Tamandua tetradactyla: one gene and its partners. The protein of the gene in region 3 interacts with the protein of the main gene of each other region in a pairwise test. Links are inferred from orthologs where the notes say so. Each region holds a gene or a part of one and is shown on either strand. Other genes may lie near its edges.

What was found.
Region 1: the proteins of RABAC1 (region 3) and RAB1A interact in a two-hybrid assay, tested with the Homo sapiens proteins (2 studies listed by BioGRID and IntAct). The link is inferred for Tamandua tetradactyla from reciprocal best matches to the Homo sapiens genes RABAC1 and RAB1A.
Region 2: the proteins of RABAC1 (region 3) and MIEF2 interact in binary tests that used the Homo sapiens proteins (3 or more experiments, as listed by UniProt). The two-hybrid records come from large-scale screens. The link is inferred for Tamandua tetradactyla from reciprocal best matches to the Homo sapiens genes RABAC1 and MIEF2.
Region 4: the proteins of RABAC1 (region 3) and PBX3 interact in a two-hybrid assay, tested with the Homo sapiens proteins (2 studies listed by BioGRID). The two-hybrid records come from large-scale screens. The link is inferred for Tamandua tetradactyla from reciprocal best matches to the Homo sapiens genes RABAC1 and PBX3.

What each region holds. Positions count from the first base shown.
Region 1 is NC_135343.1:38,325,399-38,332,691, forward strand, and holds the start of RAB1A (ras-related protein Rab-1A), read right to left. Parts: upstream 3,010-7,293; 5' UTR 2,717-3,009; coding exon 2,694-2,716; intron 1-2,693. UniProt on the Homo sapiens protein: The small GTPases Rab are key regulators of intracellular membrane trafficking, from the formation of transport vesicles to their fusion with membranes.
Region 2 is NC_135332.1:1,888,748-1,896,736, reverse strand, and holds the start of MIEF2 (mitochondrial dynamics protein MID49), read right to left. Parts: upstream 3,011-7,989; 5' UTR 2,741-3,010; coding exon 2,696-2,740; intron 2,163-2,695; exon of another isoform or gene 1,990-2,162; intron 417-1,989; coding exon 264-416; intron 136-263; coding exon 1-135. Other genes in the region: FLII (protein flightless-1 homolog), read left to right, coding at 3,180-3,242, 4,736-4,846, 5,151-5,222, 6,247-6,327, 6,609-6,694, 6,778-6,939, 7,251-7,354, 7,642-7,817 and 1 more. UniProt on the Homo sapiens protein: Mitochondrial outer membrane protein involved in the regulation of mitochondrial organization.
Region 3 is NC_135342.1:21,683,674-21,691,597, reverse strand, and holds RABAC1 (prenylated Rab acceptor protein 1), read left to right. Parts: upstream 1-4,917; 5' UTR 4,918-5,063; coding exon 5,064-5,119; intron 5,120-5,424; coding exon 5,425-5,637; intron 5,638-5,924; coding exon 5,925-6,022; intron 6,023-7,194; coding exon 7,195-7,296; intron 7,297-7,378; coding exon 7,379-7,467; 3' UTR 7,468-7,626; downstream 7,627-7,924. Other genes in the region: sodium/potassium-transporting ATPase subunit alpha-3, read left to right, coding at 292-320. UniProt on the Homo sapiens protein: General Rab protein regulator required for vesicle formation from the Golgi complex. May control vesicle docking and fusion by mediating the action of Rab GTPases to the SNARE complexes.
Region 4 is NC_135328.1:48,007,542-48,014,371, reverse strand, and holds the start of PBX3 (pre-B-cell leukemia transcription factor 3), read right to left. Parts: upstream 3,001-6,830; 5' UTR 2,949-3,000; coding exon 2,749-2,948; intron 1,809-2,748; coding exon 1,735-1,808; intron 1-1,734. UniProt on the Homo sapiens protein: Transcriptional activator that binds the sequence 5'-ATCAATCAA-3'.

The DNA of each region.
Region 1 (7,293 bases), on a different chromosome or scaffold from region 3:
ACCAACAGGTAATTTCATGTCAACCAATAAAAATCTAAAATCCTCTTTTTTCTGAGGAAGCCAAATCTTTTCTTTTGCCAAGAACCCATCTTCTTTAGCAAATTCAGCAGCACCCATAAAGCAGATTTTTAAAAATTCTAAAAGGAGTAAGATAAATTATTAGACAATAAACCAGAACAGGTTAAAGAACATTTGGGATGCACTTCTAAACATTAGCTAACACACTGTTCTTTCACATTAGCAGAACCTGGCATAAAGTGGCTATAAATGGTAGCCATTAAGACCACATTCTGGAATCAGGAAGGACATACACTCACTAAAAGTTTTAATTTAAAAGAAAGTCTAAAATTTGAAAAAATGGATTTATATCTGGTTGATAAAACTCTTCATTTCTTCCCTTCTCTTTTTCATTTTCCAAGTTTTCTCTAATCACTTTTACAATGGCAACAAACCACGCCAGAGAAGTCAGAAAAATGATTTATTTCTGGGTCTGATTCTGTTAAGTTCATTAATCTAGAGTCCTCAAAACAAAGGATAATATGATACTTCAGAAGTATTTTCCTTGTCGTTTATTAGCCATTGTTCCTTTTTCCCCTTGAAAAATTCTCCATACTCACTTCTGATTCACCAAATCTAATCACTTCTAATTTCCTTACAGGTCCTTTTCTAAGTTTTCCTTCACCAAACCAGCCAACCAGCTACCCTCCTCTGAAAATCTTTTTAGCCCAATCCGTGTCACACATCTGTAACTTGCAGTATCTACTAGTCCATGTCACACATCTGTAATTTGCAGTATTTACTAGTATTTAGCATATATACAATCTGTTTTCCGTATTCCATTTTAAGCAACTTGATGGTAAGGACTATATTCCTAAATGATATATGATAATGATAAAAAGAGTGTTCTTATAGTTTTTCAAATTCTTTTACAAACATTTGAATCTCACCACTATCCAAATAAGAATGATTCCTATTATTCCATTTTAATAAAAGAAGAAACTGATTCAGAGGTTACACAGTTTGTCAAGTTTCTGTTCAACCAATGTTCAACAATATCTGTCCACAGCACTAAATACATGTAAAATGTATGTAGCAGATAGGAAACTCCCTGAACAGCATAGGTTTAAAAACCTCAATAAAGTGGCAAATCCATGTTCTCTATTGTAGCCAGGATTAGAGACTTCAAATTCAAATGTCTGACCAGGCAAAAACACCTTTGTCCAACTTAATGCAAAACTGACTTTGTCCTTGGAGCCCTTGATAATTAAAAAGCTGTCAACTTAGCAAATATGTTGTTCTAAGAACAGTATCCTCAAATCCTTACATAAAATACTACGTTTTCTGTCTAGCACAAAAGTGGACGTTTCAGCAACAAACCACAGTATTACAAAACCTGAAGTCAGAATGCATTTTGCAAGAGCCATGTGACACACACGACCGCTAAACTCATGGGCAGAAGTGTTTAGGTGGAAATGTTTAGCAGGAATTGACTAAAGTAGCACAAAGACTCAAGTTTTAGGAAAAATTGCTCTTCTCCCTAAAAACTTCTGATACCGAAGAGGAATACCAACTAAATCCCCTCCAATTATTTGTTTACACACACACACAGACATGAGAATTTTCTTTTAAGGGTCAGTGAGGAAGCTCAACAAAGTCTTCCCAAGAAAAGTGAACACTAGTTCTCAGGAAAAGTGTCAGGTGTGTTAACATCTGCTGTGGTGACTTTTTGCGTAAGCAAGAAAAAGAAATCCATTAACTTTTCATGACACGTCACGGAACCTCATTCCCTACCTGCAAGCATTCAAGCAGGTAATCCAAAACCTACAGATCTATCATAGGTGCCATTCGTTCTCTTTCAACTTGACAGCAAAGCTTCCTTTAAATTGGCAATTTCCGGAAAATATACCTTGGTTTCATTTTTTATTTATTCGTGTGTGTGTGTATTTTACCTATAGAAGACAAAATGACTTGTGTCTCTAAAAATCATCTCCCAAATGATCAGGTTTCCCAGGAAGCCGATGGACCCCGCGAGTTCTTGAATTCTTCCAGGAAACAGAATTCAAATTTTAAACCACTTCTTCCCATCTACTCATTCTCCTCAATCCCACGCAGTCCTGAGAAACGTCCATATTACCTGCAACCTGGCGGGGAGGGTGGAAGGACAGCCAACAAGCCCAGGATTTACAAGTAAAGCTGGTTTCCACCCTGGCGATCCTGACAGCTCCGCAGAGTGCGGACGCTGGGTCTGACAGGGTCCGCTAATGAAAGAGCTCTCCCATCCTAACCTCTCCCCTCAAAAACAAGTCCTCCTTAAGCAGTCACCGCTTCAAGGAAAGCTACTCCTTCACACTGCCCTACCACCCGACTCTCAAACGCCCCACCCCCCTCAACTCTCTCGGGTTTCCTTCCTCTACCCCGGCCCCGCACTCCCGTTCTCCACCCTGAGCCTACCCAGGCCCCGGTGGCTCGCCCCGGACCCTCAGCCCCCCGGCCCGCCCTCCCCACCCCCTTCCCCGCCGCCCCTCAGCCGTCAAACAATGGGGCTGGGACTCCCGGCCGCCGACCTCTCTCGTTCCATCGCCCTCCCTTCGCCCTGGCATATGTCTCCACACTCTTTCTAGCCCTCTTGGCCGCCTCTGAGCTTCCCCAACCTGGCCCACCAACCCAGCCGACCAGTGCTCTCCTGCACTCACTATTCGGGATTCATGCTGGACATGTCACTGCAGCTGCCGCCGCCACCGCCGCCCTTGCTGCCGCAGCCGCCGCCCTGACTCTCCGCGCCACGGGTAATCTAAGGGAAGGACTGAGATAGGCTGTTCCGGGAGAGCAAACGTCTTCCCCCACTCCGTCCCCTTAGAACACAATCAGCAGACGCCGCCACTCAGCAATCGCTTCCACCCAAAATGGCCGCCGGCGAACCAGGAAATAGGGAAGCCTTCCACCGAGGAGCCTTTATACAGCTCAGAGGGCGGCCGCACCGCCTGGCATGCCGGGAAACAGAGTCGCGAGCCGCGACTGTGAACGCTGAGGGCCGACCGTGCAGCGCGGCCGCCAGGACTCCGTTTCCCACCAAGCCGTGCGACTCTGGTGCATGCGTACTTAAAGGGTTGTCGTCTGCCCCATTCCCCACGCTCTCCCTCCCCTCCCTCTCGCCCCTCCTTGTCCCGCTGTACGCTGACTCGCTGACTAGGACTTCGCTCGGACTCCCCCTAGCGGATTGGCTAAAGAGGAGCGGTCCTGGTGATGTCATCAGGGAGACGTGGCAGCAGGGAGAGTCAGCGCCCCACGGGGAGGGGGAGTAGAGGGGCAGAGGGCGGTGCGGACCGGCGGCGGAGGAAGGGGGCGGGGGGAGACCGGGACGAGGAGGGGCGAGAGGGAGGGGAGGAACAGTGTGGAGAATGGGGCAGAGAGAAGGCGGGGTCAGAAGAGGTGGAGGACACCGCCTGTTTGCGGAGGCGGGGAGGGAAGCGTGGCTGGAGACAGCGACCGGTGGGTCCCCCTTTCCGTCCGGCTTTTGCTGGCCTGACCAGCTTGAGGCTTGACTTCTCGGCTGGTCCAAGGACGTCCCCTGTGAAGTCAGAAGGGAAATAAAGGGGCCTCTGCAAAAGACCTAGTGTCTGGAAAACACGAGGCTGTTTTTTCAGTTCTCTTACTCACTCACCCAACCCCATCTGGGTCCGGTCCTCGTCCAGTGTTGGCCGCGTGCGTTACATTTTTCTTCTCTACTTCTTTCCATTCCTATTCCAGCTCTTACCACCTCAGCCTGGAGCGCTAGCCTCCGGATGCACTGTTTACCTCTAACTCCTCCAATCTCCAGTCTATCTTGCGCACACAGCCATATTTATATCCCCGAAACAGCACTTCGAGATCCCACAACGTCGATGGCTCCGCATTGCTTGGACGGCACTCTGCCCGGAATCCTTAGTCTAAAATTCGAGATCCTCCTGTTCTGGCCCCATTGTTAATTTTAGTCGATACTTAAAACTGAGCCATTCTGCAAGGCTTGAAAGGAGTGTGTTAGAAACATGCAATCCATCACTATAAAATGCTTGAGAACTCCGTGAGTAATATTAACACGTTTTTAAAATTTTTATGGTCAGCTTTCTTTAATCAGCTCAGGAATTTAAATCTCCACTAAACTTTAACAAATTATCTTGGGTTCTTGAATTACAAAGGGCATAGTATAATACATTGTCCAAAGTTTATCTTCCACCTAGGTCTAAGGATGGAGAAAATTATCTCTCGAGGCTGATTGCAAAATCACTTCAAATTCCCGTGACACCAAAATGTGGAAAGAAGGTGAATTCCACCATGTGTCTTAGTTGGCAACCTCATCAACCAGTACACAAGAATTCCTTCGCATAATGTTGATTTCTGAAATAAACATAGCCACCACCCCAGGAAAAGAAAGGGTCAATGATAGCTACCAAACTATTACTAATCTGGAGTTTTAACAGCCCTCGATTCTTCCTGCTTACAGAGATTTCGTAGAATAATAATAATAAAAAATCAGAAAAGCACTCAAGGCTACAGCCTGAGACAAAAATACAATTCCTAATTTGTGTCTCCCTTGGAGGTTTAACCGGTGAACTTCCTTTAATTGCTTATTGTCTTTTCCAACAAAGAATTGCCTCCTAATAACTTTTCACCCAAGTGAAAGGATAAATAAAACAATATAAAGCATATAGCTCAACGACTTTGGGAGCTTTCAGTGAATGTTACTTTTCTCCATCCCTTAACTTCCCTGAAAGTTTTAGGTGTGCCTGCTGTATACCAAGGACAAAGGCTTCTTGCCTTTGTTGTGATGATCTAATGCGCAAGAGCAGAGGCAGAGTGGGAATGGCAGATGGGTGTTTCCTATCTCCCACTGCAAATTGCCTGTCATTTTACATTATTTCTTTCCCAAACTTAAAATGTCTAAGCTCTTGTGTTTAAAAGCTTTACTGTTAATATATTTCATGCTTATGTATTTAGGAGCAGCTTCCTTTATCATTCACTTTAATAACTCAAAATAATTCATTAAACTAGCATGAGCCCTGTGGGCTGGCTGCTCTGTTGCGGAATGGAAACTCTTCTAGAGCTGTTTGCCCTCTCTTTCTCCCTTTTTTTTTTTCCTTTCTTCTTTTCTGTCTCTTTCCTTCATTTTTTTCTTCCTTTCTTCCTTCCTTTTCTTCCCTCTTTCTTTCTTCTTTTCCTCAAATATTTATTTCCTGGATGCAATAAATGGTTTGAAACTTGTACTTAGAATGTTGAGGAACACAAAAATGAATGATTTACGGTTCTCTGTCTTCAAGGAGTTTACAATCTAGTGGTAGAGAGATAAGTACACAAGCCAGACAAGGCCTAGAGGGGAAAATGCAAAAATAGATTAAAATGATCTGAAGTGAATAAGGAAAAAATCAGTTCAGTAATTGCCAAAAACTAGGAATGGGAGGACAGAATTGTCTAGAAAGGGACAAAGGGAACTTTCTGGTTTATGGAAATATTGTATATCTTGATTACAGCAATGGTTAGTTACTCAACTGTATATGACTCAACAGAATCGTACACCTGAAAAGGGTAAATTTAACAGCATATAAATAAAACCTCAATTTTGAATCTAATGTTCAAAAAATGTTATGAGGTGGATATACAGAAGAGGGAAATAATTCCAACTCCAAAAATTAGAGGCACTTCATAAAGTAAGTGGTATTTGAATCAGACCTTGAAAAAGGATAAAATTTGGATCATTGGCTGAAGGAGCCATTTATCCAGAATACAAGAGTGTGTGAACAAAACCATGGAAATGTGGGTCCAAGATGGTGGCTTAGTGGAGTATGGGATTTAGTTCATCCTCCAGAGCAACTAGAAAGTAGCCAGCAACAGTACAGAACAACTGCTGGGGCCACATCAGTGACCGGACACACAGTGTACCCCACTCTGGACAAGCTGGACGGAATGCAATCCCACCCAGAACCGTGAGCTCCCCAAGCTGCGGAGCCAGCGCCCCTCCCCCACAGGCTGCTTCTCAGAGGGGAAAGGAAAGAGACTTACTAACAGCAAGGGGCTTAGCTCAACCAAACCCTAATTATGGAATTAATTAACAAATTCTGACTACTAAAAATAGGGCCCCAGCTCAGTAGAACCTTGAGTAAAAGCTGAGGTTGCTGGTTTTTGCTCTGGTGCAGAGGGGACAGGGCTGATGGAAAAAGAAAAAAGAAAAAAAAAAGCATAGGTTTTTTTAGATCAGACAGCCCAAAATACTTGAAAGGGTCTGAGCCCTGAAGGAAAGGAGGGGGCACATAGGACCTGGAGATACACAGAGCAACGTACTAACTTAAGCTCTTCATTGGCAAACCTGAGGAATGGGGGTCCTGCTCTGAAAAGGGTTTTTTTTCCTGTTCTTTTTTGTGCCTGTGTATCTACAGCTTGACTGCTCTTTGGATACAACTGCAAGGCTTCTCGGGCTCCAACTGCCCCACACAAGGCAGAATTAAGCTTGTGTGAGAGTTTGTCTGGAGCCTATACCTTCCTCAGGAGAGGGGTTGGGCCCAGCTCAGGTGGAATCCCTCCCTCAAGGAATTCAGACCCTGAGGTCTGGAAAACTGAAGCAATTACAACCTCTCCTCTGTCTCAACCACATCCCTAGCCTACAGTCTCTCCTCTGTCTTAACCACATCCCTAGCAGAGAGAGTCTGCTGAAGATAAAGGTACCACATCACCTTATGCTGGTGGAACCCACAGGCTGACAAGCACCACATACTGGGCAGGATAGGAAAAAAAGCAGAGTCCAGAGGCTTCATAGGAAAGCGTTTCAACCTGCTGGGTCCCACCCTCAGGGAAATCTGACACAGGTGACTCTTTCCTCCTGAGGGGAGGCCAATTTGGTCCGGGAAAATCTGATTGGGGTCTATAATACCTAAGTAGACCCTCCTAAGGGGGGAAAAAGGCACCATACAGGCAGGGCAAGAAACAAGAACTGAAAAATTCTGATCTGTTAAACAAAACCTAAGCTGGAGGTCCAGAATAAGCTGAACTGAATGCCAAAGAACAGATAGGCAAAGACATCATCCAGCAAGAAAATCCTAGGTAAAAAAAGTGAAAACAATCCCCAGAATAAGCTAATTAAGGAAATTAAATGCCTAGACGCCAGCAAAAAGTAATGAATCATACTAGGAAAATTGAACATATGACCCAGTCAAAGGAAAAAACCAACGATTCAAATGAGATACAGGAGTTGAAACAATTAATTCAGAATGTTCGAACAGACATGGAAAACCTCATCAAAAATCAAGTCAATGAATTGAGGGAGGA
Region 2 (7,989 bases), on a different chromosome or scaffold from region 3:
GGGGACAGGAGGCAGCTGGGGGTGCAGGCGCGGCGTGGCCCTGAGCAGGTTCAGCTCCTTCCAGCTATCCTCCAGGCAAGTGGGTTCCAACTTGGCGTCATCCTCATCCCGTGGGCTGGTGGCCCTGTCAATGAGCTGGAGGCAGAGACACAGGTCGGGTCGCCGGGGTCCAGGCACAGCTCCAGGTGGGACACACCGAGCTACTGGGGGACTGAAATGCACCCCACCGGCCCCCTGCTGGGACCTACCCAGTACAGCCTTACCCGCTTTACAGCCAGGGTGGCGATGCCCAGTACTGCAGCCCCACCCATGCCCAGCACCAGGCGGGCATTGGCCAGGAGGAAGTCCACAGCAGTGCCGAAGATGTCACCGTCGGGCCGCTTCCCCCGCTTCTGGGAGAATTCAGCCATGGTCTGCTGGGAGAGAACCAGGTGTGCGTGTGTGCATGCACATGTGTGTGCACATCTGTGTATGTGTGCATGCGTGCATGTGGGCAGCCCCAGTGGAGAAGCTAGGACTGCCAGGGGGTGGCCCAGGGCAGGCAGGGATGGGCAGAGGGCTCCTGCAGCCATCCTGCTGGGGCACTTAGTCAAGCCCATGACAGCTTCCCAGGAGAAAAGGGCTACGTGTATGGTTTCTTGGGAGATCAGGGTGCTGCCCAAGGCCCTGCTCCCCCAAACCTGCACACCACTGCCTGCAGGAAAAGGGGGATTCATGCAGACTGGCTCCTCCCCAGAGGAGTGAGTCGGAGTCACCACCAGCTTTTCCCTGATCACACAGTGAGCAGTGGGGGCACAAACCCGCAAACATACAGCGTGTGGCACCCCAGTGTTTCCTGCTGGCCCCTGAGTCTACTTGGTCCTCTCTGACCCACGAGCCCAGCTCAGAGCCTGCCGCAGCCCTAGAGCTCTGGTTTCCAACCAGGGCTGGGTAGACTCCCAGTGTAGACAGGTGGGGAGGAGTTAAGGGGACCTCAGCAAGACTCAGGGGCCACACTCCCAGCCCTGAATGCTGACAGGGCACCCCCAGGACAGGCAGAGGGGGCCGGCCTTGGCTCCAGGCAGCAGAGGGCACGCGCAAGTCCTGCTACGTGCAGGGGCAGTGAGCAAGGAAGCTTTTTAGAGCTCAGACGTGAGACTGCCCAGTGGCTTGGGGACAGAGGGACAGCTGTCATCAGCTGCTAGGAGGCCACGCACCCCAGAAGTTAAGGTCAGGGTCAGCAGCGCCACCCACTTCCTCCCCTGCAAAACAGCCAAAGGTGGTGGACAGAAAGGATCAGAAGGAGGGAGTCCGCAGGTGTCTTCTGGGCAGGCTCAGGCAGGTGAGAAGAGGCAGGGCCCTGACCCAGCCCCACATTCTAAGGGAGACCCGGCCTCAGGCTCTGCCCACCAAGCCCACCTGCTGAGGGAGAGGGGCGGCTACAGGGCCAGCGTGGGGCCCCGGGCCTGCAGGAGGGACAAACACACACCAGGCAGGACTGTCCAGTCCGGGAGGCCGAAGCCCGCGTCATGAAGTCACGGCCGGCTGGGGCCCTGGGGACGCAGCCCTCCCGGCCTGCCAGGTGCCCGCCGAAGCCCGGGCCAGGGAGTGACTCATTCCCAAGCACCTACCCACCCGCCCAGGCTAAAAATAGAACAAGAGGTCTCAGGGGCCGCGCGAGGACACCGGCCAGCCGGCTGACCAGTCCGCCGGGCGGCCGGTTTGTCCACCGGGGGTTCACCCGCCTCCACTTCGCGAACTGTACACCGATTTGAACACCTCCCTCCTGGCTACGCAGGCGCCCGCCCAGCGCCGGCGGCCGAGCAGGCCCCGGCCCCGGCCCGGGCCCCAGCCCCAGGAGCCGGCGCGGGGGGCAGGCGTGACCCCTCCCTCCTCCGCCCGGCCCGCCCCCACGCGAGGAACCCGCGTCCCGGAGACCGAGGGGCTTGCCCAACACGGGATTCGAGCGCGGGCGGCGGGCCCCGAGGCGCTGCCCCCGCCCCGCCGTACCCAGGTCGCGGCCCCGCGAACGGGCCCCAGCGCGAAGCGGGCCCCGCCCGGCCCACCTGGGAATGGAACGCGGCAGAGCCGGGAGGCGCGCGCCGGGGCCGGGGTCGGAGGAGGCGGGCGGTGACCCCCAGAGGCACGCAGACGAGGAAGCCGAGCTCCAACGAGAGCGCACAGCGCCCCGCCCACGTGCCAAAATACTGCGCAGCTCAGCCAATGGGCACCTGGCCACGCCCCCCGCCCGGCGCGACTTCCTCTCGACTTAAAGGCCGAGGACTCCATTTCGAGCCCGCGGCGGGCTGGGAAGTGGAGGCTGGGAGGCCTGTCCCGGCGCGTGGAATGAGCGGCCCCCAGGGCCCGTTGTGACTTGGGTGCCCTGGGATAGTGAGCCTGGGGGTGAAGAAAGCTCTCTGGGCCCACGTTTCTCCCGGGACCACTTGCCGGGCGCCCTGAGGTCACCTGCCAGAAACCTGAGGGCATTTCAGGATTACCTGCTGGCCCACCTGGTGACCTGGGGTGAGGGGGTGTGTCCATGCTCCACAGGCCTCAGTTTTCCCTTCTGTAAAGCAGGGCCCCGCACGGCGTGGCTGAAAACAGCAGCAGCTGGGAAATGCCCGGCCTGCTCTGGGGTCGCTGGACTGCGCCCGGACCCCGCCCCTGTGGGAGCTGCATTCGGGGGGCCACGAGGCGGGAGATCGCGGGAACACACCTGGGGGAGCTCATGCCCAGCAGGGATAGCAAACACGTGCACCATTGGGCGCCTGCTGTATGCTGGGAGTTCCACGTGGAGGTGGGGGTGCGTCTGGCCTTAGGAAGCGTTTCACAGATGCGGCCGCAGGTATAGGGTGGCCCGGGCCAAGCCCTGGGGCAGGCAGGGGCGCCTCGGGAACGGGCCCCCGAACCCCTCAAACCCAGTCGGACGACTGCAGCAACATCCCCGGGTCCCGCCGCGGGGTTCTCGGAGCCGACGCTGAACCCTGCCGCCGTCAGAGGAGCCGAAGCCAAGGCCCTCCCCGCCCCGAGACCCGGCGATCCCCGCGGGCAGGCGCGTTCCCGCGGCAGGGCGGTCCGGGGCGCGGGTGCGGCGGGCGCGGGCGGGTTAAAGGGGCGGAGCCGGCGGCGGAGGCCCAGCCCGCGGCCGCCTCCCGGATCCGCCCTGCGCGCCCTGCCCGGCCGCCGGCGACAGCGGCGCCATGGAGGCCACCGGGGTGCTGCCGTTCGTGCGCGGCGTGGACCTCAGCGGCAACGACTTCAAGGTGAGCCGGCCGGGCCTGCTCGCGGGCGCTGCGCCTCCTCCGCCGCGGGCCCAGCCGCCCCCCGCTCCTCGGCCGCCCGCGGGGCCCTGCGCGCGGCCGCGATCGCCGGCCGGGCCGGGGTGTGGCCCTCCGGGCGCTCCGGGACCGTCCCCGCGCCCTGCCCCGAGCCGGAGTCCGCGGCCCCGAGGCCCGGCGCGCTGCCCGGGCGGGAGGACGGCTCTCAGGCCGGGCTGCGAGAAGAGGGGCCTCTCGGCGGGGGCGACCCTGGGCCGGCCGGCGGGCCCCTGTTCACGCCGCCCCAGCCCCAGTCGTGCCCCTCGGAGGCCGCACCGCCCAGCCAGGCCCTGACTCACGCCCGCGCTGCCCCGCCCCGCCGCCACCCCTGGCCACATCCTGTGCGGTGTTGGGCCAGACACTTCCTCCTCGGAGACCCGGGCTTGCTCTCCGGGAGGAGGGTCTCCCTGCAGCCCTTCCTGGGAGTGTCCGGAGGGCGTGATAAGTTGCTTGGAGGGTGTGCAGGCCGGTGTGAGCCCCGGTGGTGTGGGTCTGCCTCTCTTACCGGCCCCCTCCCCACCCCTGCCCCCTACCTGGCGCTGCCCAGTTGGAGGGCAAGAGGAGGTTGTCCTGGAGAGAATCGGGAATGGGGTGGGCTGGGCTGTGACTCCAGAGAAGGGCCGCAGCTGAGAGCTGGCCTGGTGGGGGGATGTGTGGCTGCAGTGTGCGGGGCAGGTATGGGCCTGGGGCTGTTAGGTGGGGGTCTGAGGGCCCCCCACCCCTCCCCCGCTCTGCCTGGGGTTGGGCGTCAGCCTGGGGCTCGCTCCTCCTGCATCTCCCAGCAAACCACCACACCTTTGACTCCCATGCCCAGGCGTGGGCTGACTGCATGTCACCCTGTCCCCCATCCCCACGGGGTCTCCAGGTGTCCTCTCTGCACTAGGAGAGGCTGCATTACAGACTGGGAAGATGGCCATAGGGGAAAGGGGACACCAGCCAGGGGCACGGAGAGCACTCTTTGTCCCAGACCTCCTCCCCCAAGCAGGGAGGGGCTGTCACTGCAGACCCGAACCCCCCAGCCCCCATCTGCCCATGTGCACCTGGGGCATTCGAATACTGGGAGTCCATGGGGGTGGCAAGCCGAGGCCTCAGCACAGTGGGGTCAGGACCTGGTGGGGGTGTGAGGGGGTGGGCTGTGCTGCGAGACAAAGTGCAAATCTGGAACGTACCTCAGCCAGGTACTGTCCTGTCCGGGTCCTCCCCGGGCTCAGAGTCCAGTGGGACAAATAGATCTCAGGCCACCAACCACACCTACAGTTAGTCCATCCTCACAACACTTGTCATGTGAGGGCTTTTATTAGCCCCATGTCATGGGTAAGGAAATTGATGAAGTGACTCGTCCAGGGTCACCCAGATGGGTGGGTGGTGGAGTGGGGGTACCGGGAGGGGGTGCCTCCCTTCTCCAGACATGCCTACCATGGCACTCCGTGGCTACACAGGGTGGCTACTTCCCTGAGAATGTCAAGTCCATGACCAGCTTGCGATGGCTGAAGCTGAACCGCACGGGTCTCTGCTACCTCCCAGAGGAGCTGGCCGCTCTGCAGAAGCTGGTAAGGGGCTTCAGGCGGGGAGCAGGAGGGTGTCCCTGTGAATGAGCCTGGGCTGGGTGGAAAGGGTGGCCAGCACAGGAGGAACACTCTGACAGTCGTGGTCAGAGGTGGCTGAGAGGGAGTAAGCACCCTGTCATGGGAGGTGTGCAAGAAGAGGTCAGGCCTGTGAGTGAGGAGAAGGCAGAGATAGACTGGGCCTGCGTGGCCGAGGCCCCTCCCCCCATGGGGTACAAGGCTGCAGTGGTGGGCAGGACATGTGTGGACCCCATCCAGCCTGCTGAGCCCGTCTCCCTTCCTGCCCCAGGAGCACTTGTCTGTGAGCCACAACAACCTGACCACACTTCATGGAGAGCTGTCCAGCCTGCCATCACTTCGGGTGAGTGCTGGGGGGAGGGGGAGGCCTCCAGGCACAGGGGTGAGGTATTGACGAGCATGGAGGGGTGCCAGACATGGGAGGGGCCTAGGGGCAGGCGCTGGTATCCTGCCCGGAGAGGAAGGGCAAGGCCAGATCCCCGGCCGGGCCAGCATTTCTGTCTACCCCCATATGAGAATCAGGGGCCGAGGCATAAAGAAGGGAAGACATAATAATGCTTGTGTAAGGTGAGGCGTGTGAGTTGGAGAAGGCCAGAGTGGAAAAGAAGAAAAGAAGTCCTGATTACCCACTTTGGGTTGTAACAACGCAGTAGTAGTAAATCATTTAACCCTGGTTTCCACCTATTTTGGGAGGGGAGAAACTTAAGCTCAGAGGTCAGGTCACACCTGGCAGTGGTGGGGCTGGTAGGGTGAGCTTAGTTGGGGTGGGAGGGTCAGAGGGGAGCCCCTGGACAACGAGGATCAGGTCCACAGCCAGTGACCTGAGAGGTTTAGGGCACAGCCTCTGGGCCAAGGCTGCCCAAGTTCAAATGTGAACTCTGCCATTTTCCGGCTGCATGACCTTAGACAAGTCACTTCAGCTTCCTGGGCCCCAAGTGCAAGTAGGGTGGAATGGCACTGAGTAAGCCTTAGTGGCTATTATCATTCTTACCACTGCTTCTTACAATCATGGGACAACCTCCTCCACCCCCACGAACTTCCTGTAGGTCTGCGGTATGTGGAAGTTCCACCCAGGGGGTCAGAAAGCAGACTGCAGCTCTGCTGTCTTCCTCTCAGTCCACACACTGATTTCTCTTTGGTCGCTCCATTCTAGAAACCTTGACTCAGATCTAGAAAAGGTTCCCTGAGGGCCCTGTGCTGGGCTGTGAGGTACATTTGAGCTGGGCTTTGAGGTATGAGTAAGAGCCTGCCAGGCGGAAGAGGTCCAGAGGTGTGACAGCACTCAGGCAGCCTTCCTGAAGGAAGTGTCCCTCTCCAGCCTTGGGGGTGGAGGCTGAGACTCACAGGCCCTCACGGTTCTTCCCCAGGCCATCGTGGCTCGAGCCAACAGCCTGAAGAATTCCGGAGTCCCTGATGACATCTTCAAACTGGATGACCTCTCAGTCCTGGTCAGTGGTTGTCCACCCACCTGGTGGGTCACCCCAACCACGCAGTCCCCACCCACCCCATAGCTGTGGTCTCTGGGGCCATTTTTATCCCACTTTCACGTGGGGAAACTGAGGCTCAGAGTGGCCATACCCTTCCTCTCAGGGCTGCCTCCCTTTGGCCCTGGAATCCCCTTGTTTGCTTCTCCCCTGGATGCCTCCTCCCTGGTGCCGGAGCCGGCACAGGTCTGGCAGGTGGGGCCAGCCCCTGATGCCCTGACCAGGGCCTGCTCCCTCCCACCCAGGACTTGAGCTACAACCAGCTGACCGAGTGCCCGCGAGAGCTGGAGAATGCCAAAAACATGCTGGTGCTGAACCTCAGCCACAACAGGTGCCGGTCCACCTGGGGGTCCCGGGCAGGAGCGTGGGCCCCACCTGCCAGGCGCCCGCTCAGGCCGTCCCTCCCGCCCACAGCATCGACACCATCCCCAACCAGCTCTTCATCAACCTCACCGACCTGCTGTATCTGGACCTCAGCGAGAACCGCCTGGAGAGCTTGCCCCCCCAGATGCGCCGCCTAGGGCACCTGCAGACGCTGCTGCTCAGTGGGAACCCACTGCTGCACGCCCAGCTCAGGTCCACCCCGCCCCGCCCCACCCTGCCCCTCCACCGCGAGGCGGGGCCCCGCCTCTGCCCTGCCCCATGAGGACCCGCCCCACCCCGTGAGGCCCCACCCCCACAGCCTTTCCTTCTGAGGAGTCCTGGCCTGGGGCCTGCTATACCCTCAGGCCTCTAAATGTCATCAGTTCTGCCTGCAGCCACCTTTGGCCTTGTCCCCCTGGGCAAATACAGCCCCCCATCTGCCCTCCCAGCGAAGGCACCACCCCCTGCTCCCGGGGCCTGGCCCTGCCCCCACCACGTGCCCAGCCTGCCCTGTGTCCCTGCAGGCAGCTCCCTGCCATGACGGCCTTGCAGACCCTGCACCTGCGCAACACCCAGCGGACCCAGAGCAACCTGCCCACCAGCCTGGAGGGCCTGAGCAGCCTGGCAGGTCAGGGGGTCCCCCTCTAACTTGATGGGGTGTCGATTGCCCCCTTCCCTGACCCCTTCGTGAGGGAGGAGAAGGGCTACATGAGTATTCTGTTGTGGTTGTGATGCAGCAAGTACTGCTAGGTTATGAGCACCTGCTCTACACCTAGAACTTGTGCTACTCTCCATGGAGAGAAACGGGCTCAGAGAGGTTAATTCACTTGCCTAGGGCTGCACAGCCTGTGGATGGTGGAACTGGGGTTCAAGGCCCTGAGGGCGCTTGCTGACTCCCACTGCCTGTGTCCCCAGATGTAGACCTGTCCTGCAATGACCTGACGCGGGTGCCCGAGTGCCTGTACACCCTCCCCAGCCTGCGCCGCCTCAACCTCAGCAGCAACCAGATCACAGAGCTGTCCCTGTGCATCGACCAGTGGGTGCATGTGGAGACCTTGAACCTGTCCCGCAACCAGCTCACCTCACTGCCTGTGCGTGCACGGGCTCCCTGGCCACGTGGGGGGGGGGGGGGGCGCGCTGCTGTGCCCAGCCTGACTAGCCCCTGCCTGCCTATCCCCCCCCCCAACCAGTCGGCCATCTGCAAGCTGACCAAGCTGAAGCGCCTCTACCTGAACTCCAACAAGCTGGACTTCGACGGGCTGC
Region 3 (7,924 bases):
GTATCCCTCCACCTCGCTCTGCCCCCCTGCACCGCCTCTGCCCTGTTTTGAGGGTATCTCTCTTTCTCTCTGTCTCTTGTTTCTTGGCTACCCTCTGTTTCCTTCGGTGACTCTGTCTCTCTCCATACCTCTAGAACTGACTGCCTCTCTCCCTTTCTCTCCATCTCTCTCTCTCTCCCTCTCCATCTCACCTCCCAGGGTCTCTCTGTCTCTTTTTCTCTGCTCTTGTGTCTCTCTAGGCCCGTCACTCCCCATCTCTCACTCTGTGTCTCTCTTCCTTTGTCTCTCCAGGTTGGGTGGAGAAAGAAACCTACTACTGACTTCACCCCGTTACACAGTCTGTCTCTTCCCAGCCCCCCAAGCCCAGGACAGCCCTGTCCAGTGCCCCCCGTTTTATATTCTGGGGGGAGGGGCCCTCTCTCCCTGTGGCCCCACCTTGGCCCCATCCCCCCCCCGAAGTTATCTCCTGCCCCTCTCCCCCAGGCTGGCTGCTCTCCCCCCACCCCTGCCCCCTGCCTCTCTCTCTCCCTCTCCCTTTTCTGTGTCTCTGTTTCTCTCCCTTCCTCACCCTTCCATCCCTACCCTCCCTCCCAGCCCTCTCCTGGCCTCTTTTTTACTCCTTTCACTCCCCGACTGACGCCATCTCTGGTTCTGGACAATTATCAAATATATCAATGGGGAGAGAGAAGTGGTGTGCCGTGTTGTGCTTGCTTTCCAGACTAATGGTGCTGGGGGGACCGTGTCCCATGGGGGTTCGCGCTGCTGGGTGATTCACACAACTCCAGAAATTTAGCCTGGCTCGTTCGTGAGAGCCACAGAATCTCAGTAGGTTAAGGAATCCGCAGGGTTTAGGATGCAGTGAATGCCAGGGCAAGAGCAGCTTGAATTCGTCTGGTGATGGGATTATAGTGTCAGCGCAGGGAAGAGGCTGAGAATAAGAGTTAGGACTGTGGAGTCGGGGACCCTCTCATATTGGAGTAGGGTCTCCGGGAGGTGGTGGGGATGAAGATGATGATGATGGCGGTGGTCCACTGAGCTCCCACCGTGTGCGCTGTGCTCTGATGGGTCCGGCTTACATCTGAGACCCTCCCACGTTGTCGGACCTATCGCCACCCCATTCTCTTGCCTCGCTGTTCAGTATCCGATTGTGTGAATCTAACACTCTTTGTTTATCCATTCGCCTGTGGATGGACATTTGGGTTGTTTCCAGCTTGGTGGCCCTGACGGTGTGAACTGCGAGGAATAGGAACCTCCTAGTAATGTCTGTAGATGACGTGTGTGCACCGCTGCTGGGTACAGGCCTGGGAGAGAAGTTGTTGGGACACACCATAGACTATGTTTAGCTTCAGCAGAAACTGCCAGGCTGTTTTCAAAGCCCTTGCACCATTTTGCATTCCCACCAGCAGTGTATGAAAGTTCCAGTGGCTCCGTGCCTTCACCAACACTCTATATTGTCTTTTTAAATTTTAGCCATTCTGGTGGGGCAGCTACCCCACTTCCCTGGAGGCTGCCTCTAACACAGCTCAAAGACACAGGTCAGAGGGCAGGGTGGGGCCAGACCCAGGCCCACCTGGCTACCAGTGTGAGGTGTGTGGGTGGCCCGGATGCTCCGAGGGCTCATGTGAGTGTGGGTTGTTGCCTATGTGTGTGCGCGTGACCATTACAGCAAGCGACAGCTTAGGGAGGAGTGCTTGTGTCGGAGCAGGGAAGGGGCCGTGGGTGCTGGACTCCCCTCCTGGTGCCCAGGACAGAAGCTTGATCCTGACAGAGCTGTGCAAGCTTGCACCCCTCTTGGAAGGCCAGCGAAGCACTTTATTCATCTAGTGCCCCCAGGTGTTAGTAACGGTGTGGTACCTGGGAATCCTGTGTTTTATGCATGATTGTTCTGTAAATCAACAACTTCTCTAACAAAAAAGGAAAGAAATACTCACATATACAGATGGGCAAACTGAGGCCCAGAGAGGGGAGGGACTCCCTTGAGGTTACACAGCAGGGACTATAACCCAGGATCCTGATTGTCTATGCTAAGGGCTTCTGACCTTCTCAGCGCCACTTCTTCTGGGAACCCAAGAGGCTGGAGGGCACACAGGGCCATGCTCACATCCCACAGTCTTGCCAGGGGTCCCTGATCTCTCCCCATCCCCCTAATCCAGGACCCCTTCCCCCACAATCCCTCTGTCTCTGGGCCCCATCTCCCACAATTCCCCTGTCTCTGGACCCCATCTCCCACAATCCCCCTGTCTCTGGGCCCCATCTCCCACAATTCCCCTGTCTCTGGGCCCCATCTCCCACAATCCCCCTCTCTCTGTGACCCCATCCCCCACAATTCTCCTGTTTCCGGGCCCCATCTCTCAGAATTCCCTTGGCTCTGGGGCCCACCACCTCCCACAATGCTCCTAATTCAGGGCTCACTTCCCCTCAACCCCCTGCTGTAGGGACCTGTTATAGTTTGCAAGCTGCCAGAGTGAGATATACCAGAAATGGAACAACTTTTAAAAAGGGGAATTTATTAAGTTGCACATTTACAGCATCCAGGGAAAGATACTTTGGTTCGAGAAGGCCTATGATGTTCAGGGTTTCTCTGTCAACCGGAAAAGCACATGGCAACCTCTGCTAGCCTTCTCTTCAGGCTTCTTATTTCATGAAGCTCCCCCAAGGGCGTTTTCCTTCTTCATCTCCAAAGGCTTCTGGCTGCATGGGCTCTTGTGACTCTCAAGCTTTCTCCAAAATGGTTCTTTCTTAAAGGGCTCCAGAAAGCAACCCCACCTTGAATGGGTAGAGAGACACCTCCATAGAAACCATCTAATCAAAAGCTGTCACCCACAATTGGGTGGGTCACATCTCTGGGGGTAACCAAAAAGCTTCCACGCAGCAATACTGAATGAGGATTAAAGGATATGGCTTTTCTAGGGTCCACCACAGATTCAAATGAGCACAGTCTCCCCTCCCACAGTTCCTATTTCAAGGGACCCTTCTCCTACACTGCCCCTGTGTCAAGGCCCCAACTTCAAAACTCCTACAATTCAAAGTTCACCCTCCTCCTGGGGTTCAGAGGGTCCCTCCCCTATAATGTCCTCTCCTCTGCAACCACATCTCTTGCCGTGGTCCCTGTGAGACCACTATACATCATCCATGTTCCATGTCTCCCAGCCTTTGCCCAAATATGTCAACTACTCAGAACAGGTACTGGCAGGTGATGGAATGAAATCACTTTGAATCAGTTCTCATAAGGAAACCCATTTCAAGGTTGGCCATGGAGAAAGAATAACATCTTGGGAAGAGGTAGCTGGATCTTGGCTTCCAACTTTATTTCCCCAAGATTCATCTTCCCTTCGGGGGCGCTTCCACTGGTTACCTCTGCCACCCCCATCCCAGTGCTGCTAGCCCATCCATGCTCTAGGCTAACTGTCCCTCTATAGACCTCCTTTGATTTTTTGAGGCAAAGCTGGACTTGAGTTGGAAAACTTGAACAAATTGGAAAGCCCAAGGATGACAGAGGGGAAGGAAATGGTAACTAGACAATCTGACCCTCATTTGTAGCTTGGGGCCGGATAGGCACACCATCAGTAGCCTCCCTGACTACTGCTGCACTAGCTCCCTTGGCAGGAGTCATCTTTCCCCACCTCCAGCAGGAGTGCCCTCCACCAGGGCTGAAAGGCCCTACCCAAAAGGCCTGAGCATCTTGGGAGATAAGAATTGGGGCTAACAGTCACCTGGCTATTCCCCGTAGGTTTTCTCCCTTCAGTCCCAGGCTTGGAAAATTACGACTTCACTTCATGTAAGGAGCCCAGACTTCATGGCACTCCATTCATTTCTTAAGGCCCTGTTCCACTGCACCCTCTTTAAAATTCTGGTCCTGTCTTCCCACAATTCACCCCGGGGCAGGGACAGTCCACTGAGGAATTTGTTTAAAGACTTTGGGAGAACCACAGCTGGGGAACTAAAGAAAGGCCCATGCCTCAGACACCAGCCACTCTTTGGGATACCCAAGGGGCCAGAGTCCCCTAATATGCAACTGTGAAATTGGGGAAGGCTGAACTCCAGAAATGATCATCATAACATTAATGATGATACAGTGTTGACAGCAGTGACTATATTTATTGAGCATGTATAAAGTGTTGAGAACTTTAAGCACTTTATCTGGCTCATTTAACTGAATCTTCATAACTCCATGAGTGTGGCACTCTGAGGCTCGCCACTGTCCAGATGAGGATGTGAGGTTCAGAGATATGACTCAGTCAAAGCCACACAGCCTGCATTTTCAATTAAGTCTCACCTCAGAATCCCAGGTCTTTTAGTTATACAAGCTTCCTCTTTTATAAATTTGCAGCTCTTTCCCCCTCACAACTTCCTTCCTATGCCAAGGTGCGTGGTGGGCGGGGTCTAGTCCTAACCCATTGGACCCTGAAAGCCCAAAGATTGGAGGGAGGCTGTGCTTCACTCCCAGACACCACCCCCACAGCCACAGCCCTCCTACTAGCCTCTGTCCCTGGTGGGAGAAAGGAATAATTTCCCACGAATTCTCTACAACTTCGCTACTCAAAATGTGGTCCAGGGACCAGCATCATCAACATCACTTGGGAACGTGGTAGAAATGCAAATTATGGGCCCCACTCTAGACCCCCTAAACCAGAGCATCTGGGGTACGGGCCCAGGAATCAGTGTTTTATTAATTTCTAGTGTTCACAGCACCACCTTCTTCCAGGAGGGCTCCCATAATACCCTTACTCCCGACAGCTCACCTTCCCCGACTCCACGCCCCCAGCTCTAGAACTACAACTCCCACAATGCCCAGAGATTTCCACTGCCCCCCCCTTCCCTGGGACTTCATTGGGACTACATTTCCCAAGGTGATTTGCGAGCCAGTCCTCCATCATGGCGCCCGCACCTCCCAGACACCTCCAGGACTACAACTCCCAGAAGGCTCAGCGGCAGCCCTACCGTCCCCAGTAACTCCCGAGCCGTGCCACGTCCATTTCGCGGGTGAGGCCGGGCTTGGGCGGGGCCCGGGGTGTGCGGGGCCCCGGGCTCCTTTCGGTGGTTCTGCCCCTCACACCGCAGATATGGCGGCCGAGAAGAACCAGCAGAAGGATGCCGAAGTGGATGGGATGAGCGCCACGTGAGCGACCCGGCCCTAGCCACTCCCCAACCCAAGACCCGGAGTCCGGGCTCTGACCCCCTGTACCCCCGGGTCCCAGGACCCCCTATGGCAAACCTCTTCTCTCAGACACCAGAGTCCAGGCTCCCGGTCCCCTTCTCTTCGAGGACTCTGGAGTCTGAGCCCCTCCTTCCCTCCTCCCCGGGGTCCAGGAGTTCGAAGCCCCACTCCCCCAGGAGCCCGGAGTCCGGCCCTCTCAACCCTCATCTTCCTCGGGGTCTCAGGCCTCTATCCCAGCCTACCGCTGACCCGGCCTCGTCCTCCAGGACCCTGCTGCCCAAACTGATTCCATCCGGCCCGGGCCGTGAGTGGCTGGAGCGGCGCCGCGCAACCATCCGGCCCTGGGGCCCCTTCGTGGACCAGCGGCGCTTCTCGCGGCCCCGCAACCTGGGCGAGCTGTGCCAGCGCCTGGTGCGCAACGTGGAGCACTACCAGAGCAACTACGTGTTCGTGTTCCTGGGCCTCATCCTCTACTGCGTGTGAGTGCTTCTCCCGCCCGCCCTGGCCTCGCCCCCACCCGGTGGCCCTGCTCTGCCCGGTGGACCCCGCCCTCAGCAAGCTGCCGCACCCCTCGCTGGCCAGGCCCCGCCTTGTGTCCCAGAGGGTGGGGTCCCTACTCCCCTGACATCTGGGCTAGGCCTTGTGACCAGCGTGACCTGGTGTCAAGGAAGAAGCCCTCCATCTGCCCTGTAGAAGGATGGGGGACCCCTGGCTGGCCAGTCCCTGCAACCTGACCCCTGCCTCTCTTCACTCCCCTCCTTCCCAGCTTGACGTCCCCCATGCTGCTGGTGGCTCTGGCGGTCTTCTTTGGTGCCTGTTACATCCTCTATCTGCGCACTCTGCAGTCCAAGATTGTGCTCTTTGGTGAGATACCCCTTGGCCAGACCGAGCCCCGACTTCTCAACTTCTGGACTCTCTGAATGCAAACCTCAGACCCCCAAACTTAAATTTAAATTCAAGTCCCTCTGAATTTAAATCTACTCAAACTTAGATCTACCCTAAGTCTCCTACAGCTCATCTCTTAAAATCCCAGACACATTAGATGCCCCTACCCAGCCTCAGCTCTCTCAATTGCTATTCTCCAAATCCACAATGAGATACCCCAAACCCACCCTTCACCTGGCTCCTCCCCAAGCCATTCCACTCCTCCCTAATTGGTCCTCCCTAACCTCTGCAGAAAGCATCAGCTGCAGGTACCCCCATTGGACACCAGGTGGTGGCCTTACACTGGCCTAGTTCCTGTTCTCTCCCCTTTCCTGCTTCCTGAGATAGAAGCTGGAAGGTGGGACCAGAAAGAGCTTAGGACTTAGAGAAGCTGAGACCTATGGCTTTATAAAGTACCTTGTTGTGGTTCCAGCCTGGAATGAGGTTCCATTGGGCAAACAAAGGAGGACCTTCGTCCCCATCCAGGGGAAGCTCAGGTTTGGAGTGGGGGCAGGGAGAAGTTGGGATCACACAATCAGTGAGACTTAAAGTACTTCAGGGACTGAAACTAAAATTCAGGGGCCTGCAAGTCATGTACACGATGAAGGTGGACTGGGTGAGGAAGTGCTGGGCCACCCCAGGACATGGAGAGAGCATCTAAAGCTTAGCCACGACTTGTCTTCGGCCTGTTGCTGTCACCAGAGAATGCAGTAGTGTCACCCACTTGTTCTTGGAAAACAGTGTACAGGTTCAGAAAACATAGCCACAGGTCAGACTTGGTCCAGGAGCCATCAGTTTGAGTTCCCTGGCCTACATGAGTTCAGGTTGGAGCAGGAGAGCCCTGTACTGGGAAGGGGGTGCTAGGAGTTTTCTAGAGGAAGAAGGGTTGAAGGGCAAGTGGTCGGAGGCTGAGGACAAGTTTGATACTCCAGAGGAAGATGGGGATGTTGGAGAGAAGCTGTGATCAAGACTCATGGGGTCTTGGTGAGATGGGTTTGAATTAGATCCTAAGGCTCTAGAGCTTGTGACACCAGATTGTTGGGGGATGGCGGGGGAATCTGGGAGAGGGCATGGAGTGTCGGAGCCGTGCCCCAATGCCATCCACCCCCCAGGCCGAGAGGTGAGCCCAGCCCATCAGTATGCCCTGGCCGGAGGCATCTCCTTCCCCTTCTTCTGGCTGGCCGGTGCGGGCTCAGCGGTCTTCTGGGTCCTTGGTAAGTAAAGATCTGGGTGGTATGGCCAGGTGGGGACATGCAGGTGAGGGAGCCTTGCCCTGACCTGCCCAGTTTCCTACAGGTGCCACCTTGGTCGTCATCGGCTCTCACGCCGCCTTCCACCAGGTGGAGGCTGGGGATGGGGAGGAACTGCAGATGGAGCCTGTGTGAGGTGTCTCCAAGGACCCGCCGCTTCCCAGGCCAGCTCCCCTGGCTCCTTTCACCCATATCCTGCAAGGCTCTGCTGCCGGGGCCCAAGGCCCCCTTCCCATTACAAGCCCAGGGGAGGAACTCCAGCTTTGGAAATAAAGCTGTTACAGTTGTTATTCAGCAGGTGTCTCCTAGTGTCTTCTGTGTGTCTCTGTAGAGTGATGCTAGGGTACTGCTGTACCCAAGATAGATGGGCCCCAGGTGTGGGAGACGACCGTACAGATGTATAAGTGAAGTGGTCTGGGGTGTCAGATAGTGATATGTGCTGAGGAGAAAAGAAACGTGGGGAAGGGGTCATGTGTCGGGGGTCCCCATGAGCAGCCCCAAATTCTATGATTCACTGGGAAGACACACAGGACTCAGCATATAGCCAGCTCACAGCTGAGATTTGTTGTAGTAAAGGGACACCAGGCACAAT
Region 4 (6,830 bases), on a different chromosome or scaffold from region 3:
GGTTCTCAAGCTGGCTAGGTCAAAACTTTAAAAAAACAAAAAAATAAATATAAATCATGAGAAGGGGGCTAGAAGGGGAGAAGTACCAACCCCCTCTCCCTAGTAATATAATGCTGTACAAAGTAGAATCAATCTTAATATTCACAACATAGTCAATACCCCAGTGCTTAGCTGTCAGCAGAAACTGAAGTGGAGCCCAGATAGCAAAAAAACCCTTGGACATTAAACAACATAATTTACTGAGAACTATGCACTTTTAGGCCTCTATACTAAGAATCTTCCAAGATTCAATGCTTAATATTTTATTTTATAGTCAGAAAAATGATCTACCATTTTAAATCACAATGCTTTCTAAAGGTAACTAAAAATCAACACAAAAAAAAAGTTGGTAATTTAAAATGCCCACGATTCTCCAAATGCAAAACACATTTTATAAAGAATTGCTCAACAGTAAGAAACCATGCATGCCACGTGAATGAAAAACAGGGAAAGCACACTTTAAGCTCTTTTAGTATTTGCTGTTAATTATGGCTTTAACATATATCTTAATAGACTGCAAAAACTCATGGTCTTTTCTTGATTAGTTTTAGGATTAGAGCAGAATTGCAGGATGAAAAATTTGTTTAAAAGGGAGGCAACTCACCTATCAACCTAACAGTTATTTGTGGTATGCTATCAATTTAATCACAATCAAATTAAACCTTTTAAATAGTATTACTTAAATATTCCTATATTCTGGACTTGAACTTTTTCTTCTTTGGCTTAACTTGAAAAATGGCAACTTAAAATACCATATATTCAACACACACCCAAAAAAAGAAAAAGATATTCAATAGTAAAGATTGTTTAATGTATTTGTTTGCCATACACAGGGCAGATGTTGCCAAACACATACAAGAGCATCTAAATTAAATCTCTATTTCCACTGGAGCCACTGCTATCACATTGAGACTAAAACATTGTCAATTGCCTAAGTCTTACAAGAAAGTTAAATTGAAATGAATTGCCAAAAATTTGCGTAATATGTATCTGTAGTGTTCATTCCAACACTTGTGTAAAACCTTCCTACTCATATATTCCTGCCTTGAACACTTCAAAAACTGTTCAACCTGCATCTGAGGATCTTTTCCTACTTTATAATATATATTACGCCTATTTACAATGCAATAACTTCAAGCATAATAAATGCAATAGTGTATGTGCCTAAATACATCATTACTCTTTCTTCACTTCTCAAAAGTATTTTTCTCACCTAAAAACACTAATTAGAACATGCTATTGGGGTCTTTTCAATTGCCTCTATTCTTCTATCTGTGGAACTGATGCTGAAGGCTGTCTAAGTAAAACAAAGTTCCGGCGATGCTTCTCAGGGACTCATTCCCTGGCATCCAGTCTCCCGTTGCTCCTTTTAAAACCTGACACACAAACAAGGCGAAAGGAGCAGAGAGGGTGGCTGGCTCTCTGGGCCCCCTCCCAGCCTGCAGCCAGGGGCCGCCGCCTGGGGATGGCGACCCAGCCACGTCCGGGTCTACACTTCATTTTAGACCAGAAGTAGAACTGAGAAATCGACACCAGATTTATTGCAGTTTTTTTCTCAAGATCAGGAGGTGGGAAGGAGAGAATGATCAAAGATGGCGGTGCCCAAAAGCAGCAGCTCTCAACTGGAGAGTCGAAGGAGTAGTTCCGACCCCACCTCAGGGGTCTCCAGGCCCACTGCGGGGCGCAGCTTCTTACCTGTTTTCTCTTTGATCTCACACAGAACGCTGAAGAGTGCGGGTTTCATTCTGTGACAGTTCAGAGCATGTTTCCTAAAAAAACAAATAGCAAAACACAAAGGTATTAGCATCACCTATGGAATAATATGGCGCCTTCCTTTAAGTTAGACCCAAGACTTAATTCCGGTCCTCTATTTTGAAAGGCTATTTTGAACGATGGGAAGTCAACAAGAAACTCAAGTTGACTAGTTAGCGACAGCCGGGAAGCTCTGGCGAAAGCTCGAGCTGGAACGAAGCGTGATTCATCTGCCCGGCAGGCAGCAGCCTGGGCGACCGCAGGGCGCGAACCCGCGCTGGGAGCCTTGATACATGGACAGGCAGCAGCGACCCGAGGAAGAGGGCGGATGCGGAGAGGCTCCCGCGTCAGCTCTCCGTAGAGGGAAGAGCGGGTGCTGCTCCCGCAGGCGGGCCACGGACAGCGGACGGGTGACAGCTCGGCAAAGTTTGCGGGGCGGCTCTCCCTTCCCGGAGAACTTGGCCGGCCGCATCCGAACCCGCCGGGGAGCCTCCCATCGTCCCGCGCCGGGGTTGAGGTGACCGCCCGCACAGCAAGGTCGTCCTTGGTCAGGTCGAGCCCCGGGCGCTGGGGCTCAGGACCCGAGGAGAAAGTTGCACTTCTCTCAAGTGCAGCCCGGACCTCTCTCCCAGCAGTGTGCACCGGGGTCCAGGCGGGAGGTTTAAATCTTGGGAGGGGGCCGGGCTGCAAGAAGGCTGGACAAGAAAAGGAAAGAAAGACAAAACATCCGCGCGGCACCAAATCTGTCCCAAACCCCGAGAACAACTTTCTCCGACTCCCGCCTGAGTCGAGGAGCGCGGGCAAGTGCCCCCGAGGCCAGGGTGGGCGACCGGTTTTCGGAGAAAGTTCCCCGCTGGGGACTGAGACCCCCGCCCCCAGCGTCACCCCGGGTCGCGACTCAGCCGCGGGCCCGGCTCCCGCACGCACACAAAAGATGCTTAATGAGACGACACCAACTTTGCTTGCGCCTCGTCCAGGCTCTGGTCGGTGATGGTCATGATCTGGTGGAGGATGTCGCCGATGTCCTGCTTCCTACCGTCGCCGTCCGCCCCTTCGTGGCCGTGCGGGGGAGGCGGTAGGGCCATGCCCCCCTGCACCGAGTGCCCGGCCAGGTTCACCCCGGCCAGAGTCTGAAGCATCCTGGATTGATCGTCCATCCCGCCGCGCGCGGGCGGGAGCGGGCGGCGGCGGCGGCTGAGGAGAAGGCTGAGGCGGCGGCGGCGGCGGCGGCGAGGGAGGAGAAGAAAGAGGGGGAGGGGGAGGGGGAGGCGGCCGCGCGCTCCCCACCCGCGCCGGGAGGGGGCGGCCGGGCCGGCGGGGCCCGCGGCTGAGGCGGCGCGGACCGGCCCTGGGCTTGGGCTTCCGCCGCCGCTGAGGCTGGGGAGAAGCGCCTGGCGGAAGCGCCGGGTTCCGCGGCGGTGGCGGAGGCAGCAGAGTCCGCTGCCCTCACGCGGCCGCCGCACCGCCTCCTTGTCGTCCTGCGCCCCGCCGGGCGGCCCCGCGCAACTTGCTCCTTAGCCCTGGCCGAGTTGCTGGGACGCCCGCCACCCCCCGCGCCAGCCTGCGCACTCCCCTCCTTTGGCCGCCGCCACCGCCTCAGCCAGGCGGGATCCGCGCCTCAGCGGCCCCAGGGGAGGGAGCGGCGGCGGCGGGCGGTCGCGGAGGATGAGGCCAGCGGACGGGCCGAGGGACGCGAACGGGGCGGAGGAGGAAAGTTTGGGAGCGAGCGGGCTAGCGCGACAAGGACTAGAAGCCCGATGGAGGGTCCTTTCGCGGCCAGCCGAGCGGGCAGCGGATTGATGGGGCTGGAGAAGTCGCCGCCGCCACTGCCTGAACAGCGCACCCAGCCAGCAGTCGCCGCGGACCGGGCTCGAAGGCCGCTTGGCTGAGGGATTGACAGGCTGCCAGTGCCACTCACTCACTGCGGCCCCAGCGCCCGGAGGGAGGGGCGGGGGCGAGCGGGGCGGGCGGGGGAGCGCACCCGTATGCTCCGCCTCCGGAGGCGGCGCGCGTGTTCATTGGGCCTTACGCCTCCCGCCGCCGCCACTGGCACCACCCATGGAGTTCGAACCGCCCCCTCTGGCCTCGGATCCTTAGCGCCTGGGTGCGCGCCACAGGATCCTCACGACGCGGTCGCGTCCTTGTCCATTGCGATTATCCCGACCCGCAAACATTGTAGTCGCACCCCGACTCCAGTCCCCTAATGTTAGTGGTAGGGAGTCGGGGGTGTCGTGTAGGAACACGTAGCAACTCGCTCGGAGCCAACCGTGTGCTCCCCCGCAACTGCCGCGTGAGCTTCAAGCCTGGTACACTTTTCCGTTCTTGCCGTCTTTTGGTGGTACCCTCAGAGTACTAGCCGCGTGTCCCGGGCCAATCGCGTCGTGCTTGGAGTCGAATGGGGTGGGACAGAGGTATGAGAGGGCTGTCCCAATTGGAGCGTTCGAAATATCCTGGGCGGTGATGGTGAAAAAGCGGATGGTGGCCCCGCCCCTCTCACGATTACTATAGTAACTGAGAAGGCGCTTAGTCGGAGTTGGCGCCAGTGCGCGGGCCTTTTGCTGCCCCTCAGGGGGTGACCAGTTAGATGGGCGCTGGGTATACTTGAAGTCTGAGCGGATCTGAGTACCATACACTCTCTCTTGAAAGGGGAGCATAGCAGAATGTGTCAAAGGGTTTGGGAGGAGAAAAAGAGGCCCAAGTCCAGGACTAATTTCAAGGCCTACAACCCTTTATACACTGCAACTTCTGGTAATTCATAGACTACTCCTTTGGCAGTGTTTGTGTTTAGCTGCTTTCAGATGTACTGAAGCTGCAGAAATGAGCTCTTTACCCCAAAGATACATTTGTTTGGGAATAGACTGTTTTTCTCCTGTCTACTTTCCCCCATATCCCTGAATCATTTAATATTGGTGACTCCAGCCACTGATTTTTCATATGTATCATGCAACTTCTTCCATTCTACCCTGTCAATAAATGACTAAAAGCATCACACTGTTTTGGGATCTGGACCTACCACATCTGGTGGACACTTGATCTTGCTTTAACCTGATTTCCCAAGCAGGGGATTTAACATATTTCCTCTATTTTGGATTCAGGGAATTTCACCCTAGATGGATCCTTTGGCTCACTGGTTCAAAAAAGTTCTGTTCCCAAACTCAATAAACTCTCTTACCTGAAATCAAAATACTGGTTCAAAGGTATGAAAAATGGCTCTTATTCTGTAGAGTTTAATCTAAGACAAGCAGTTCTTTAAATGCCAGATGGAGTCATAGTATGAAAGAAGTAGCCCTCTCAGCTCCAGATTCTTTCCTTCATATGATATGCGTACTTTTAACGACTTACCACTGCAAAGCTAATAGCTAACCTTTCAGTTAGGCAAGCTAAAATCCTTACAAACTGCACAGCTGCTGAGGAGGAAGTTCCAAACAATCCATTCTGCTTACTTACCTCAGAAAGAAGCCCCCTCAGGTTTGTTAATATCCCTGGATCTTCTATAGCCCAGGTATGTGTCAAATTTCTGATTCTACTTTCAAGCCCCATATTATAGGTTACTCACAGTCATCCCTGATTGGGTTCTCTCTTTATTCTTAACTTGTTTTTCAAAGCTGTCACCAAGTCCTCACTTTTTTCTTTTTTTTAATGCTCCGCGAATTTGCATGTCATCTTTGTGCAGGGGCCATGCTAATTTTCTCTGCATCATTCCAATTTTAGTATAATGTGCTGCCAAAGCAGCACCCTTACTTATTTTTTATTAAAAGGACAAAAGCAATGACAATCTTTTGTAATTCTCCACGTTAAAGATGTAAAACTACAGAAATCTATATGAAAGATGCCTTAAACTCTAAGATGCCTTCCAACTCTAAAATTCAATGATCCTGTAACTATCTATCAGGCCTCCTCCCCTGCCTGCCCTCCTTCTAGGCTCATAATCTTGACTAATCAGTCATGAGGATGAGGCTAATTAGCAATGGGGATTTATGGTTATTTCTAGCCCATTCCAAACAATGAGTTATGTAAGCAAAAGCAACATATATAAAAATGTAAATAAAATTAAAGAAACATTTAAGCAAATAAAGGCAATTGGGAACTATGGGCTCTGTAAACAAACCAGAACATAAAAACATAAATTAGAATTAAGAAAACAGTTAAGCAAATGCCAGCAATTAGGAATAAAAATAGTCTTGTTAAATGCCTAACACTAGCAGCTATTTTACCATACACACCTCTAAACCCATGGTCATTCAGTGATGTGTAAACTTGATGCCGTAATTCCACTTTAACTGATTGGAGTAGATTGACCTTCTGCTTGGGAGGTTTCACTTTTTGCTACTATCAATGTAAGTTGCAGTAAAAGCCAGAGAGTCCAAGCAAGAATTCCCTCACAGGCTCATTGACAACTGTCATTGATTTAAAGCATAAATTATTTTAGATAGGTTTCCAAGCCCCAATAAACACTGTCGACTAATTGCAGATGCTCCGAGATCTCTTGTGCACTTGCCAGTTTTTCATGTAGGATGCTGCCTTGTCTCCACTCAGCAATCTGAGTCACACGGCTGATGCTTTCACAGAGAAGAGAAAAGAACCTCCCTAAGTACCTGAATCCATCTTTGCTGTTCCTAAGGCAGTGATTATTAAAAAGTCAAGGGAAATGTAATTTACTTTGGGTGAATGTACATTCATAAGAGGTTAACAGTGGCAAAGTGGTGAAACCCAAGTAAGTGCTCCCTCACACCCATCCCTTTCCCTGGGTATATATTAACATCATCTTTGCCTCTACCATCCCTGTGTTGGTTATCACAGCAGATGCCATTATTGAGCACTTTTTCAGGGCTGGGCACTCTGCTCTGTTTCCTTTGCTTCACCTTATTTCACAAGAAGCCTATCTGGGTGGGATTATTATTATTTAAGTAAACAGAATCAGAGAAGTTTAGAAGCTTGTATAATACCACAACATTAATCAGTACTGAAGCTTGAATTAGAATTGTGAGCCCACCCTCTAAAATACTGGGCAAAGAAATCATTTAATCAAGATTACTAAA